2 linked regions of the Pelodiscus sinensis genome follow. The main gene of each other region encodes a partner of the protein of the gene in region 2 in a complex. Links are inferred from orthologs where the notes say so. Each region holds a gene or a part of one and is shown on either strand. Other genes may lie near its edges.

What was found. The genes of interacting proteins can lie anywhere in the genome.
Region 1: the proteins of NTRK1 (region 2) and NGF are in contact, whole or in part, in a crystal structure (PDB 1WWW), measured with the Homo sapiens proteins. The link is inferred for Pelodiscus sinensis from reciprocal best matches to the Homo sapiens genes NTRK1 and NGF. Residues at the interface, in NP_002520.2 of Homo sapiens: His291, Val294, Glu295, Met296, His297, Cys300, Pro302, Phe303, Ser304, Leu333, Glu334, His343, Gly344, Cys345, Arg347, Thr352, His353, Met379, Asp380, Pro382; in NP_001424474.1 of Homo sapiens: His125, Pro126, Ile127, Phe128, Arg130, Gly131, Glu132, Phe133, Ser134, Ser138, Ser140, Trp142, Tyr173, Phe175, Arg180.

The regions. Positions count from the first base shown.
Region 1 is NC_134737.1:178,124-183,389, reverse strand, and holds NGF (beta-nerve growth factor), read right to left. Parts: upstream 1,387-5,266; coding exon 658-1,386; 3' UTR 514-657; downstream 1-513. UniProt on the Homo sapiens protein: Nerve growth factor is important for the development and maintenance of the sympathetic and sensory nervous systems.
Region 2 is NC_134734.1:18,100,934-18,108,830, reverse strand, and holds the start of NTRK1 (high affinity nerve growth factor receptor), read right to left. Parts: upstream 3,022-7,897; 5' UTR 2,879-3,021; coding exon 2,670-2,878; intron 1-2,669. UniProt on the Homo sapiens protein: Receptor tyrosine kinase involved in the development and the maturation of the central and peripheral nervous systems through regulation of proliferation, differentiation and survival of sympathetic and nervous neurons.

The DNA.
Region 1 (5,266 bases), on a different chromosome or scaffold from region 2:
ATTTACATCATAATGCCCAGAGTGGTATAAAAATCACTGTATGTTGCACCAACAGTTCTCAGAATCCTAATGACAGACTAGTAGAATGGGGACAAAACTGGAAAAAAACAAGTGGGCCTGTAGCACTTTAGAGCCTAACAAAAATATAGAGGACCACTGATTGTTTTGGTTTTTTAAAAACATTTTAAGTTACAGACTAACACAGCTTACCCCTTGGAGACTAGTAGAATGGGAGTAAACCCAGCTATATTTTTCTAGTGTTTTTTTTTTTTTTTATACTTTCATGAGTTGGAAAAGAACATAACCTTCTGGAACAAGCCATAGATTTTCCCACGAAAAGGGCAGGTTTGCTTGTGAAAATTGGCTTGGGGGAGGGAGGGTGGAAGGAAAGTGCAAAATGTTTTTTTTCACAGAACAGTGCGCTCAGTGGCCACGCTGTGTGGCTCACAAGGCAGAGATGAATATCTCCCCAAAGGAGTGTTACATCGTTAAATTAAATGCATCACACAAAACGAGTTTCCAAAAGTTTAATAAATAGCGAGGTTCGTTCTTTACTGTATAAACTATAAATATACCACGCAGTCCTTATAACTTAAAATAATTTACAGGCTGAGGTAGGGGGGAGGGGAGCATGTGGGTGCGATGGTTTGTTCCATCTCAGGGTCTCACGGTTTTCCGGCTGAGCACGCACACGCAGGCAGTATTAATTCGGATAAATCTCCAGGCTGCTTGCTTGCCTTCCATTGTCAGTGCTTTGACAAAGGTGTGCGTGGTGGTGCAGTAGGAATTCCAGTGCTTAGCATCAATCCCCCGGCACCCACTGGAAACAGGCTTAGGTTCCCTGCACATGGTTTCGAAGAAGTACTGCTTGAAGACATTGTTGTTAATGTTCACCTCTCCCAGCACCGTCACCTCTTTGCCTTTGATGTCTGTTGCTGTGGTTTTGTCCCCAACCCACTTGCTGACACTGTCACAGACTGAGAATTCTCCGCGGTGCAGCACGGGATGAGCCGTCCGCTTGGTTCGGACAGTCCTGTTAAGAGAATCTCCACTTCCCAGATACTCCATGTCCTGGCCGTCCCCTACCAGTGGCGGGGGCTGTGTGCTGAACAGAACCCGAGGGGACCGGAATCGTCTCTTCCTGAAAAGCTTTGGATCCACCGTGATGTTGGCCGCTTGGCCTGAGTCTCCGTCGTCCGCCTTCTCAACGAGGCTGTGGTTTCCTGTGTGTGCAGCCGCCTTGGCAATGTGATTGGCTTTAGTCCGGTGGATATTTGGAATGGTGGGTCCTGCAGGAAACCCCCCTGGAGCATTATTCTCTGACTTTGGTGCTGCCTGTATGCCGAGCAAAAAAGCTACAATCAGAGTGTAGTACAGCATGGACATTACGCTATGCACCTAGAATGAAACAGAAACTGAGGGTTACTACGAGTGACATGCACCTGAAAGCACTTGTGCTGCTTGAGAGAGGCCCACTCGGACCTGGATGGGTATTTACTGCTCTAATGCTGCTAATGCTGGTGAATTTGCTGGCTATTCAGCATTGCAGTGCAGATCATGCAGCTCTCATCAGCTATTCATGTGGGTCCCAGATGTTCTTCTAGAAAAACTTTCAAACAGCATTAATGTGCTTAATAAAGTAGGAATACAAGGAAATAATGGCTGGATTATAATGAATTCCTTTCATATTTGTTATCAGAACATTGTATATGAAGCACCTGTTTGGGGTTATTAATGTGGAGACTTAGGGTGTTCTCTGGAGTAGAAATCTCCTTTGATATTTTTCTCAGGCTCCTTGACAATAGCTACTGCTGCTTGGGAGCCACTGTGGCTACAGACCTGGGATTTATGGGTAGAGAAATGCCCTCCTTTGTTCTGAAAACCAGGAGCAAGTACAGGTTCCACAGACAACGCCTAGAGAAACAAGTTTGTTGCTCTGCAACCTGGAGAATACTAGGGATGTTAAATATCGGTTAATTGAATAGTCGATTAACCTCCATGAATTCTTATCGGTTACTCGACTATTTTATAGTCCTTGGGCAGCCCCTGTCTGGGATGAAGGGGTCTGTGCTCCCAGACCCGGCGTGAGTTGGAACTGAGCTGGCTGCCTGCCCGCACGGCTGCTAATACACTTTAAATGCAGAGCCACACTGGGGTAAGTCCAGGACCCAGTGTGAGCTGGGCTGCTGGCCAGCCTGCTAAAAAATGTACTGGCAAAGGGTGGGGGGAAATGCACATAATCTATAACATTAACCGATAAGCTTCTGCTTGTCAGTTAATCGACTCCACTATTGCATCCCTAGAGAATTTGTACATCTGCTTGGGTGTTGAAAAATGTAAAATCAGTTTCTAAAGATTCTCCAAGAATAACATTATACCACAAGTTCGGTGACAGTGAAAGCTGCATTAGGGAATCCAGACAAGTGTTAGGTAATGAATCAGTACTAGACATCCTATGAATAAGAGAGACAGTCCAAACATAAGCTGAAAATGCACTTAAGGGCAGACATTCAGTTTCCCTTGTGAAGCACTAATAAGTACAGACTGGGTATAAACAGAAAAAAACTGTCAAGCCAGACTGCTCCCCTCAGTGGCTTCTTTGGCCTGACATGTTTCAGCTGGCCCTGGATTTCTCTGCATGGCTGGCAGGCACAAGCTGACTGGACAAACAGTTTCACAGGGGAAAATTCAAACTCTGCAGTTGAGCTCTGATTTCCCATACTGTTTTAATATTTTTTGGGCATGGGTCACTTGTTACTAAAGCTTCCCACTCTTTCTTCTCAGCCTTCACTAGTCAAAAATGGAGAGGATTACTAGAATACTAGTTAATATTTCATGCTACTAGTTCTCATGGACAACTCAAGAGTCTATAAGAAAACTGATGTCTGAGGTAAGAGCTGGCGAGACCTGACCAGCTGGGCCTCTGTAGGCCTGGGTGATCTGAGGGACATAAGAAGTGAGCCAAAGATGCCAAATGGAAGGAGTTACTGAAGCAGTAATGATGCTAAAGTCCCTGCAATAAGAGGAGCTAGAGAGACCAAAAGCTACTTGAGCATTTCTCAGTGCATTGAGCAACCTGGATTAAGTGGCGATTGAATGTTGGAGAGAGGCAGGTCTTGCTGCAATGAACATGTGCCCTCATTTAGACTCGGAGCAGAATTGAGGCTGCCTTCTTCCTACATTCCGTTTGTGAGATACAGGCACCGTCTGGGCAAGGAAACAGAATCTGGAGGTGGGAGTAGAACTGTAGCCATGTGAGTCTACGAGTAACCTCCAGTTCTCCAGCTCCAAATTAAAATCAGATGGCTCACAACATCGCTAACGAATTTTCTTTTTTCAATAGAGTTGTTATTGAAAAAGGTCTGCAGAACGAAATCCAGACGTAGTTTAAACACCCCCTCAGCAGCCTCAACGAAACGTATTTACATATAGGCCCTTTGTTTATACTTTCCTTCTATAGGAAATAGAGCTTAGTGAGGCCAATAAAAGGCTGTGTTCTGCTTTTGCGTGATGCAGAATTCACTAGTCTAAATGCAGCAACATTTAAAAACTCCTTTATCTGTCTTCCTCAAGCCCTTTTCCTTTGATTACACAGTTACTAACATCATTGTACTGTGTGCTTTAAACCTACTACCACTAAATTGAAACCATCTCCGCAGCCCTCTCCCTCCCAGCTTTACAACTGCTCCATAACTCTCTTCACCAGCAGGCAGCACGGTGTGAGGTAGGAGTCACAGAACAAAGCTGTTTGTTTGGGCGGTTTTAGTAGTTATATGTTAACCCTGAGAAAGCATTTTCAAACCTGGATATTTTCTATCTGCTTACGGGACATGGAAGCTGAAGGATGAAAGCAATGTGCACTTCACCTGCAATTTCTTGAATGTGCAAAATAAATGTAAAGCCCAGGCAGGGCTTGAAGTGTGTGGAAAATGGATTTGCTTACAGAAATGGCCATTCCACAAGGTCTGCTGCTGTTCTTCCATTCACACGCTTAGTACGTACTTGATGCCTAGGTGCTGCTCTTTGAAAATGTTTACAGTGTATCTGAACTTCAGAGAGGGAAGGAGTTGCCTCTTGTAGGCATGAAATTCAGGGACATTTCTTTGCATATGTAGCCATGTGGGTCCTCACAAACAGATGTGACTTCAGAAAGGCTGAACCATCATTAGAATACAGCAATCAGTAAACATGTCTCATAAATGATGTAAGCTGCTAGAAGAAGGTGGGAGGGCTCAATGAAATTGAAAGACAACTAATCAAAATGTGTAGGGATCTGTTGAGTTAACCTGGGAGTTCCCTGCTACAGGATATTATTGGGGGAAATCACTAACAGCCGTAACAAATTTGGTGCTTACCAAATAAGAATACTAAGTGCAAGTAAACAGGCAAAAGTAAAATGATACAGTCTGTTGCTCTTCCAACTTCAGAATATAAACTGATCACTCTTTTGAGCTAAGAAAAGATCTGCTATTTTCACACCTTGCTCTGCAGTTGGCCAAGTGCATGACTTGTTTATTCTGTTACCTCTCCTCTGGTGCAGCTGGTACAGGGGGCTGGTGTACATAGATGTGGTCAGGTTCCTACTGTGCTTACCTCTGGGTGTACTGAACGGAAAGCTGCTCCCAGGCAAGGTCTCTATTGCCTCCAGACGCTGAGCTGAAATTGGATGCAGCATGCCATCAGGCAGGCCAGTGTGACTGCACAGCTAAGAGTCTCGGTGCAGCCTACTCTGGGTTCTGCTAGAGAAGAAAAGTATCCATTTCAATAATAATTCAGAAAATAAGCTTTCAAATAAGTTTTCCTTGTTGTTAGAAGAGGCTGGGGACAGGCCTGGCAAGCATCCAGCTGGAAGCTCGCTTACATGGCTCTTTGAATGATCCCCCCCCCCTTTTTTTTTTGCATTGGTTTCACAGTATAGGAGTTCTCTGCAGCACAGCAGTCTCTGACACTCTGGGCACTGGCCTTGAAGAACAGCAAAGCATGAAAGCACACGCTTCGCTTTAAGCAGGGGATGTAAAAGTTTAACTGGTGAACCGATATACCGATGCTTATCGGTTCTGATTAACGGTCAAACTCCGGTGCAGCTGGCTGCCCACAAAGCCGTGATGCCAGGAGGCTGCGGAGCCAGCGAGGATGGCAGTGCTAGGCAGCCAAGGGTGCCATTTCGGGAGAGCAGGGAAGGCAGCAGCCATGCATCCCAGGACATGGCTTGCTGTTCTTCCTGTTGCCTGGGCTATCCGGAGGCAAGGGGAAAGCACGTGGATGC
Region 2 (7,897 bases):
CTGATCCTCAGCTGGGCCAGCAAACTGGACATTAACGCCCCTGTTCTCCGTGCAACACGCTTCAGCACCCCCGGCCGCAGGGAGTTTGGCAGGTCTCTGTCCAACTCCCTGGGGAGGGAGGCACCCACTGACCCACAGCCACCCACTGACCCACAGCCCATCTGCACCCAATGCAGATGTTAACCCATTCACGCCATAAACATTCCCCCTACCGCCCCAGGCTAGGGTCACGTCCTTCCCAGTGCACAGACTGGGACACTGAGGCAGGGGAGGGGCAAGACCTTCTGCAAGGCCACGTGGCCACCACCAGTCGGTTCTTTGGAGGCCTGGTCGCAGGCTTTTTGCAGAAGGGAACCCTGCCTCCTGCCCTGTCCCATCCCGCTCAGGGCAAACTGAGAGCAGCCTCGGCAGAGCCACCTAAGCCTGCAGGTGCCAGAGGCTAATGTAGACACATTGCTGCCCGCCAGCCCTGCAGCCAACGCCCTTCAAGGGGAGGTCTGACCGCGCTGCTCAGTGCACCAGGCTGATTGGCACTAAGGGGGAATCCCTCTGCCAGTGGATCCCCATCCGGACACAGCAGCCGGCTGGGGCTGGCCACAGCTGGGGACCTGCCCCATCAACTCCCATGGAGCGAGACCCATTTACTCCCTGGGGCACAGCACTGATGCCTCCTGCTCACGCAGGACCGGGGCGGGGGGAGGGAGCCCTCCCAGGAGCACAGCCCCCGGCCTGCACAGGATAGGGGGAAAGCAAATCATGCAGGCTACAGCATCAGCCAGGGAATGACTGGGGCAGCTGCCCAGCCAAGGGGGGCAGATGGAGGGGCCATAGAGAAAGTGGGGTGAGTGGGATCGAATAGGGGGTGCTGGCGAGAACGGGGACTGAGCTGGCCACTGCGTAGAGACTGGGTCTCTGCTCAATTTCCTCCAGTTCTGGGCCAGTTTTCCCCCCCCCCCAAAACCTGTGCACAGCCCAGCGTCGTCCTCCCCCGCCCCCACTTTCCTCCCTCCAGGGGTCCCAGCTCCCGGATCTGAATAAGCCCCACTGCTCCCCCTCCCTGCCCCTCCTGTAGCTGCCTGGAAATAAAACCAGGAGTCCTGGTTCCCAGCCCCCTGCTCCGACCCACCAGACCCTGCTCCCTCCTGCAGCCAACTCATTTCCCCTGGAGAACAGCTGCTCCATGAGCCCACCTGAAGGGAAATGGGGGTGGGGAGGGGTCATGCAAGCCCCCAGTGCTCAGACCCCTGCTGCTCCCAAGCTGGGCAGGGAGAGCTCAATGCAAAGCCCTTGCGGAGCTCCTGCCCCCCACCCCACCCCTCCAGAGAGCCCCTGGAGCTGAGGCTGGACCCCATCTCACCAGGCCTCTGGGTAGAGCTAACAGCACCCCCCTTTGCCACACCCACCGAGCCAGGGCACTGTCCCGACCCACCCAGAGCACTGCTGGCTTCCCCATTCCCCTTCCAGTGCCCCCAAACCCATGCGCAGGGGCAGTTCTAAACCCATCTCTGCCCTGATCCAGATGGGGAAGGGCTGGGTGCTACCAGGGGAGCTCAGAAGGGGAGCGGTTCCCTGACCCTGCCTGGACCCACTGGGTGGGGTCTCCCCAGCCCTCTCTGATCCCAGCCGGGGCAGGCATAGGTGGCACACAGGGTCACCTTGCCCAGCTGACACTCTCCTCCCAGGGGCTGTCGCCCGTCCATCCCCTGGCACCCAGCCTGCCACAAGGCATGGGACAGGCCAGTTCAAAGCCCTTCGCACCCACTTACAGCCTCCAATCTGCACCCTTCACGTCTCTGAGCTTCCCCCACATAATGCCCCATGTCCCCTCTCTAGCGGCATACCTCTGCCTCCCTGCTCCCCCTCCCCTGGAACTCCTGCACCCCAACCCCGCCCCTCCCCAATCCACACTCCCCAACAGCCTTATGCCTCCTGTTTGTAATGCCCCCCCGGACATACACTGGAGACAAACGGGCATCTCCGCCCCCTCCCCGGTCCTTGGGAACGCACTGGCATCTCCCTCCACACTGGTCCCTGGGGATGCTCTGGCATCTCGCCCCCCCACCCAGAGTCCCTGGAGTGCATTGGCACCTCCCTCCATGGCACAGTCCCTGGGTCATGTTGGCATCTCTGCTCTTCCCCACACAGGGCTGCACTGGCATTACACCCTCCCCATCACGGTCCCTTGGGACACGCAGGCATCTTCCCCCCACATGGTCCCTGGGAGCACACTGGCATCACCCCCTCCTTGTCACGGTCCCTGGGGGCACGCGGGTATCACGCTCTCCTTGTCACGGTCCCTGGGGGCACGCGGGTATCTTCCCCTCCACAAGGGTCCCTGGGGACGCACTGGCATCGCCTCCCCCCCCGACGGCTCTTGGGGGGCGCTGGCAACGTCCCCCCCCGGATCCCTGGAGTGCATTGGCATCTCCCTCCATGGCACGGTCCCTGGGGGCACACGGGTATCTTCCCCCACATGGTCCCTGGGAGCGCACTGGCATCACCCCCTCCTTGTCACAGTTCCTGGGGGCATGCGGGTATTCCCCCCCCCCATGGCTCTTGGGGCGCGCTGGCAACGCCCCCCCCCCCCGGATCCCTGGAGTGCATTGGCATCTCCCTCCATGGCACGGTCCCTGGGGGCGCTGGCGTCGCCCCCTCCCCGCCCCACTCACACGTCGGTGAAGTTCTCGGCGCCCAGCAGCTGGCCGAGCCCGCGGACGCGGTTGGGCTCCAGGCAGTGCAGCGAGGCGGTCCCGTAGCACCTGCAGGCAGCGGGGCAGGGTCCGGCCGCTGCCCAGCCCGGCACCCGGAGCAGCCAGGCCAGCAGCAGCCAAGCGGGGCAGCCGGCGGGAGCCGGGGGCATCCTGCGGGCCCGGGGCATGGCGCTGCCCAGCCCTAGCCCAGCGCCTGCCGCTCCCCGACCTCCGCTGCACCGGCTGGGCGCGGGTGTGCAGGAGGCGCCCGGTTTAAAGGCAGGAGGGGCTGGGCGGGGCCTGCGGCTGCCCCCCCCCCCGCACCTCCACGCCCCCAGGAGCCGGGCGCTGGGGCTGCCCAGGGAGCGCGGGGCGGATGGAGAAGAGACGGGATCGGCGAGGAGCCCGCTGTGCAAGCGGGCAGGGCAGCCACGGCGGGGGTAGAAAGGGGCTGCGGGTCTGGAGTGAGGGGCACTGGCAGGGCTGGCGGGGGAGGGGGCTGGGGTCGGAGGAGGGGGCTGGGAGGGGGCTGGACTGGCGGGGGAGGGGGCTGGGGTCGGAGGAGGGGGCTGGGAGGGGGCTGGACTGGCGGGGGAGGGGGCTGGGGTCGGAGGGAGGGGGGTTGGGAGGGGGCTGGACTGGCGGGGGAGGGGGCTGGGGTCGGAGGGGGGGGCTGGGAGGGGGCTGGCCTGGCGGGGGAGGGGGCTGGGGTCGGAGGAGGGGGCTGGGAGGGGGCTGGCCTGGCGGGGGAGGGGGCTGGGGTCGGAGGAGGGGGCTGGGAGGGGGCTGGCCTGGCGGGGGAGGGGGCTGGGGTCGGAGGAGAGGGCTGGGAGGGGGCTGGCCTGGCGGGGGAGGGGGCTGGGGTCGGAGGAGGGGGCTGGGAGGGGGCTGGACTGGCGGGGGAGGGGGCTGGGGTCGGAGGGAGGGGGGTTGGGAGGGGGCTGGGGTCGGAGGGAGGGGGAGCTGGGGCCGGGTCAGCAGGGCACCTGGCCTGGGAGCGCAGCGCGGGGAGCGGCAGCCGCGGGGCCGGGCGGGATGTCATAGAACCGTGGGACTGGAAGGGACCCGGAGGGGTCATCGAGTCCAGGAACCTGGTGCCTCCGGCGCCGGAGCGGACTCTGAGTCAAGTTCCCTGGAAGTCCCGGAGCCGCCCACTGGCGGGGGCGGGGGGCAGGACTCTCCCCCCCCCAGCCCCGCCTGCCCTCCTGGGGCTGCGCCTGGCTCCCGGGACACACAAGCCCCAGCTGGCGGCACCTCAGCCCCTGGAGAGCAGCGACACCCCGGGGCCCAGGCCCAGAGCAGGCTGCAGGGAGAGCGGCTCGGTAGGGGGCGCTGCCCGGCGCCAACACACCCGCGCCCCGCACAGCTCGCCACAACTCCCGTAACACGCGCAGGAGCGCACACACCTCCCTCCCCGCACACACAGCATCGCACACCTCCCTTCACACACACACACACACACACACACACACTGCATCGCACACCTCCCTACACACACACACACACACACACACACACACACACACACTGCATCGCACACCTCCCTACACACACACACACACACACACACACACACACACACTGCATCGCACACCTCCCTACACACACACACACACACACACACACACACTGCATCGCACACCTCCCTACACACACACACACACACACACACACGGCATCGCACACCTCCCTACACACACACACACACATACACGGCATCGCACACCTCCCTTCTCACTCACATACACACACTGCATCGTACACCTAACATCACACACACACACACACACACTGCATCGCACACCCCCCTTCACACACACACCTCCCTCCCTCCCGGCACACTCCACAACTCTTCCCGCTCACACTGCATCGCACCCCTCCGATCACACACATTCATGCACACAGCCTCCCCACACCGCTCAGGGGCCACACTCCACACCCCATCACATATACAACCTGCTAACACAATAGCACCCTCCTTCCCCCCCCCCCACAAGCTCCCCGCCCCCTCCCATTTCACACTAGCTGGGCCGTGCCCCAGCCCCCCTCGCTGGAAAAAATGTTCCTGCGAATTCCGCCCCGGGTTCTTCCTCCTCCCTCCCCCCCCCCCCCCGCAATCCCTCGGGCATTAAGGACCCGAGCCTCTGGGGGGGGGGGGGAGTTGACTGCTCAGGAGGGGCCTTCCGGCCTGAACCCGCCTTCGCCAAAGAGCTGCTCGCCGCACCCCCCCCCCCCCGCCGGCATCTCTCGGCTGCACGCCAGAGGTGGCTGCATTGGAGAGAAGCGACTCCCGGGGGTGTCTCTTCCAGAGCCTCTCTCTGCCTGGCTGGAAGCGGGCGAGTGGGAAAGGCCCGCCGGGAGCCTGTGACGAAACCCTCCCACGCTGCTGGAGAATTACGGGAAATCGCGGCTGTTAATAACCAGCCGCGGCACGTTTCGTCGGGGGGGGAATCTCCGAGGGCTTGAGGAAGGGCGGTGGGAACCGTCCCGGTACGTTTTACGGATGGGGAAACTGAGGCACGGAGCTCTGGGGCGAAAGCGCACCGTCTCCCCGCTCCCAGCCCGCTGCTCTGGCCACTAGGCAGCACCGCCTCCCCTCACACTATCGGAGGACTCCGTCCAATGCGGCTTCCCTCGAGGTGAGTGTGAGCTACCTCAAGGAGTCTGCGGGGGGCAGAGTTAAGGCGGTTAGCCCACACAAACCGGGCGTTTTCTTCCTCAAACCGTGTCTGGCTTTGAGGGTTCCCCCATGTATCCCCCCTAGTGTTCAAAGATCGTTCATAGCCCCTCTGACCCCCACGTCGGAAGTGATCCAGGACTGCCGCCGGGGGAGGTAGGGCGGAGTTTTAAGCCTCTTCCAAGGCAGGGCAGCGCCAGCTTAGACTGACTCGGGCATCCCTGTCTATGGGGTCCCCTGCCCCGTAGTTGCCCAGCATGGCTGCTTCTGCCCCCGCCCCGCGCAGGTGGTAGGAGGCCCCAACGGGGGAGTGGTGGGGAGCCGCCTGGGAGGTGTGGGTGGGGCTGGAGAGCGTCTGTCACCCGAGGGCAGTGGGGTGAGGCGCCACCCTACGCCTAGCTGAACAGTCTCCCGTGGGGTCCGGGAGTGTCAATCGGAGGTGGCAGGTGCTGGCTGGGAAGAGCAGAGACGTGGAAGGGGCAGGAGGAGAATTCGAGGGGTTAGACACGGCGCCGAGGGCTGCCTGGCTCTCCCCCTGCCGCTCAGGGCACTGTTATGGAGGAAGAGCGCAGCCTTTTCAGACTCTAATGGTGACAGTCTGGGCCAGCCGGGACTCCTGCCTTGCGGCCAGGGAAAGGTGGCTCGGGGTTTGGAGAAGGGGCCCGGGAGGCAGGACACCAGGGCCCTATTCCTAGCCTGATCTATTGCCACGGTTATTTTCTCTCTCTGCCAGATGTTCCACCCACCCACCCCAAGCTCCTCCCACTCTCACCCAATGGTCATGCCTGTGCCAAGCCGACCCGCATGAGACAGCTCCCGGCGCTTACGTATGGGGGAAATCCCATTAGGGTTCAGAGTTAACAAACCACCCTGCCCTCTCCCGTTGGCGCTGCAGGTGTCGGGCGCGCTGTGTCCCAGGGGGCACGGGGCAGGGCTGGGCCCGTGTCCGGGATTCCCTGGCGGAATTATCCAGACCCAAGCGAGTCCCCACCCCCACACGACCAGGAATTTGGCTCCTGTCCCAAGCCTGGCCGCTCTCTCCCAGCCCCCCTCCGGCTGCGGCACCTCGCGGACGGTGCCCTGGGAGCGGCCCTTCCCGGGGCGCCGCTAGACTGGGAGGGGGAGACTCCAATAACGTCCCCCCCTTGCAGCCACGTGGGGCCCGTCTCCGCCAGGTCACTCTGCCCACCCCCCTACCACCCAGCCAATGCGCCTCCACCCTACGGGCGAAACTCCCCAGAGGCCGGGGCAGCCTCAACCCAGCCCCGGGTCAGAGCCTTCCTGGGAGAAGACGCGGTGCTTTAGCTGCGCTCCTGGACACAGCGCCCGTCCCCAGCGCACAGGGGGCAGCCCCCGAAGCCAACAGAGACCCCCCCCACCCGCCGGCCTCCCTCACCTCTGCTGGGCGCAGCGCCCCCCCCCCCCCCAGGTGTGCCCATGGATAACTGAGTGCTCGCCTCCAGCTAACCCCTTCCCTGCCGGGGCAGATTTGGCTGCGCCCCGGGCCCTGGCCAGGGGGCTCGCCTTTCTTTCCACAGCCGCCTTTCTTTGCGGCTTTGCCCCCCGAGACCCAGAACCCCCCCGCCCCACATCAGGGTGGGAAAGCGCCTTTTCGGCGGGAGGCAGCCTTCCTATGCTAAGCCGCCAGCGCACGGCTGCCAGACAGCTGCCACGCCCCACCCCAGAGCGGGCTGCATTTCGGGGGCGGGGCAATGGGGCACGGGAGCTGCAAGCGGCCGGGGCAGGAGGGGGAGGGCTGGGGGTGTCCGGGGCTGTGTAGCCTTTGTCCTTGTCAATGCCCAGCCTGGTCCCGGAGCCGGGGATGCGGGTTTGCCCGGCAGCGCCTGGCCGCCCGACCCTGCGCCCAACACCAGGGGACCGGCCGCTCGCTGTTACCTGCTTGGCACAGGAGCCCAGAACCAACTCCGCCCCGCCGGGCCCTCAGGAGGCGCCCAGCCTGCTCCTCCGCTCGCTGGGGCTGGAGGCGGCCGGGGCACGTCTCCCTATTCTCCCTCCCTGCTACCGTCACCCAGTAGCCGAGTGCGCTAGGGCGCCCCCTGCGGGCGAGGCGATACCACGCTACCAGCCTACTACTGCTGCCGGCTGGCAGAGCGCCTCCGCCATGGCCCAGAGCTCTGCGGGGTGGCGCCCAACTTCCCCCCGTTCCAGGGATATTTCCTGGGTTCCATTTTCCTTCCTCCCTGGACAATAAAGGCTGGCAATAGGCTGAGTGTGGTGGCCCAGGGGCTGGACACTTTAGGAGGGGGAGGAGTCCAAGGCCGACTGGGGCTCCAAGCCGGAATATTCCCCCCTTGTATCTCACTCGCCCCCTGCAAATACAAACAGCCCTGGGTTCCCAAACCGGAGGGTGCAGCGCAGGCAGCAGCCACAAGGGGAAACGTCTGGAAAACGTGACCTGAGGGAAGACTGAAAGAATTGGGGTTGTTTAGTCTGGAGAAGAGAAGACTGAGAGGGGACATGAGAGCAGCTTTCAAGGACCTGAAAGGGTGTCACAAGGAGGAGGGAGAAA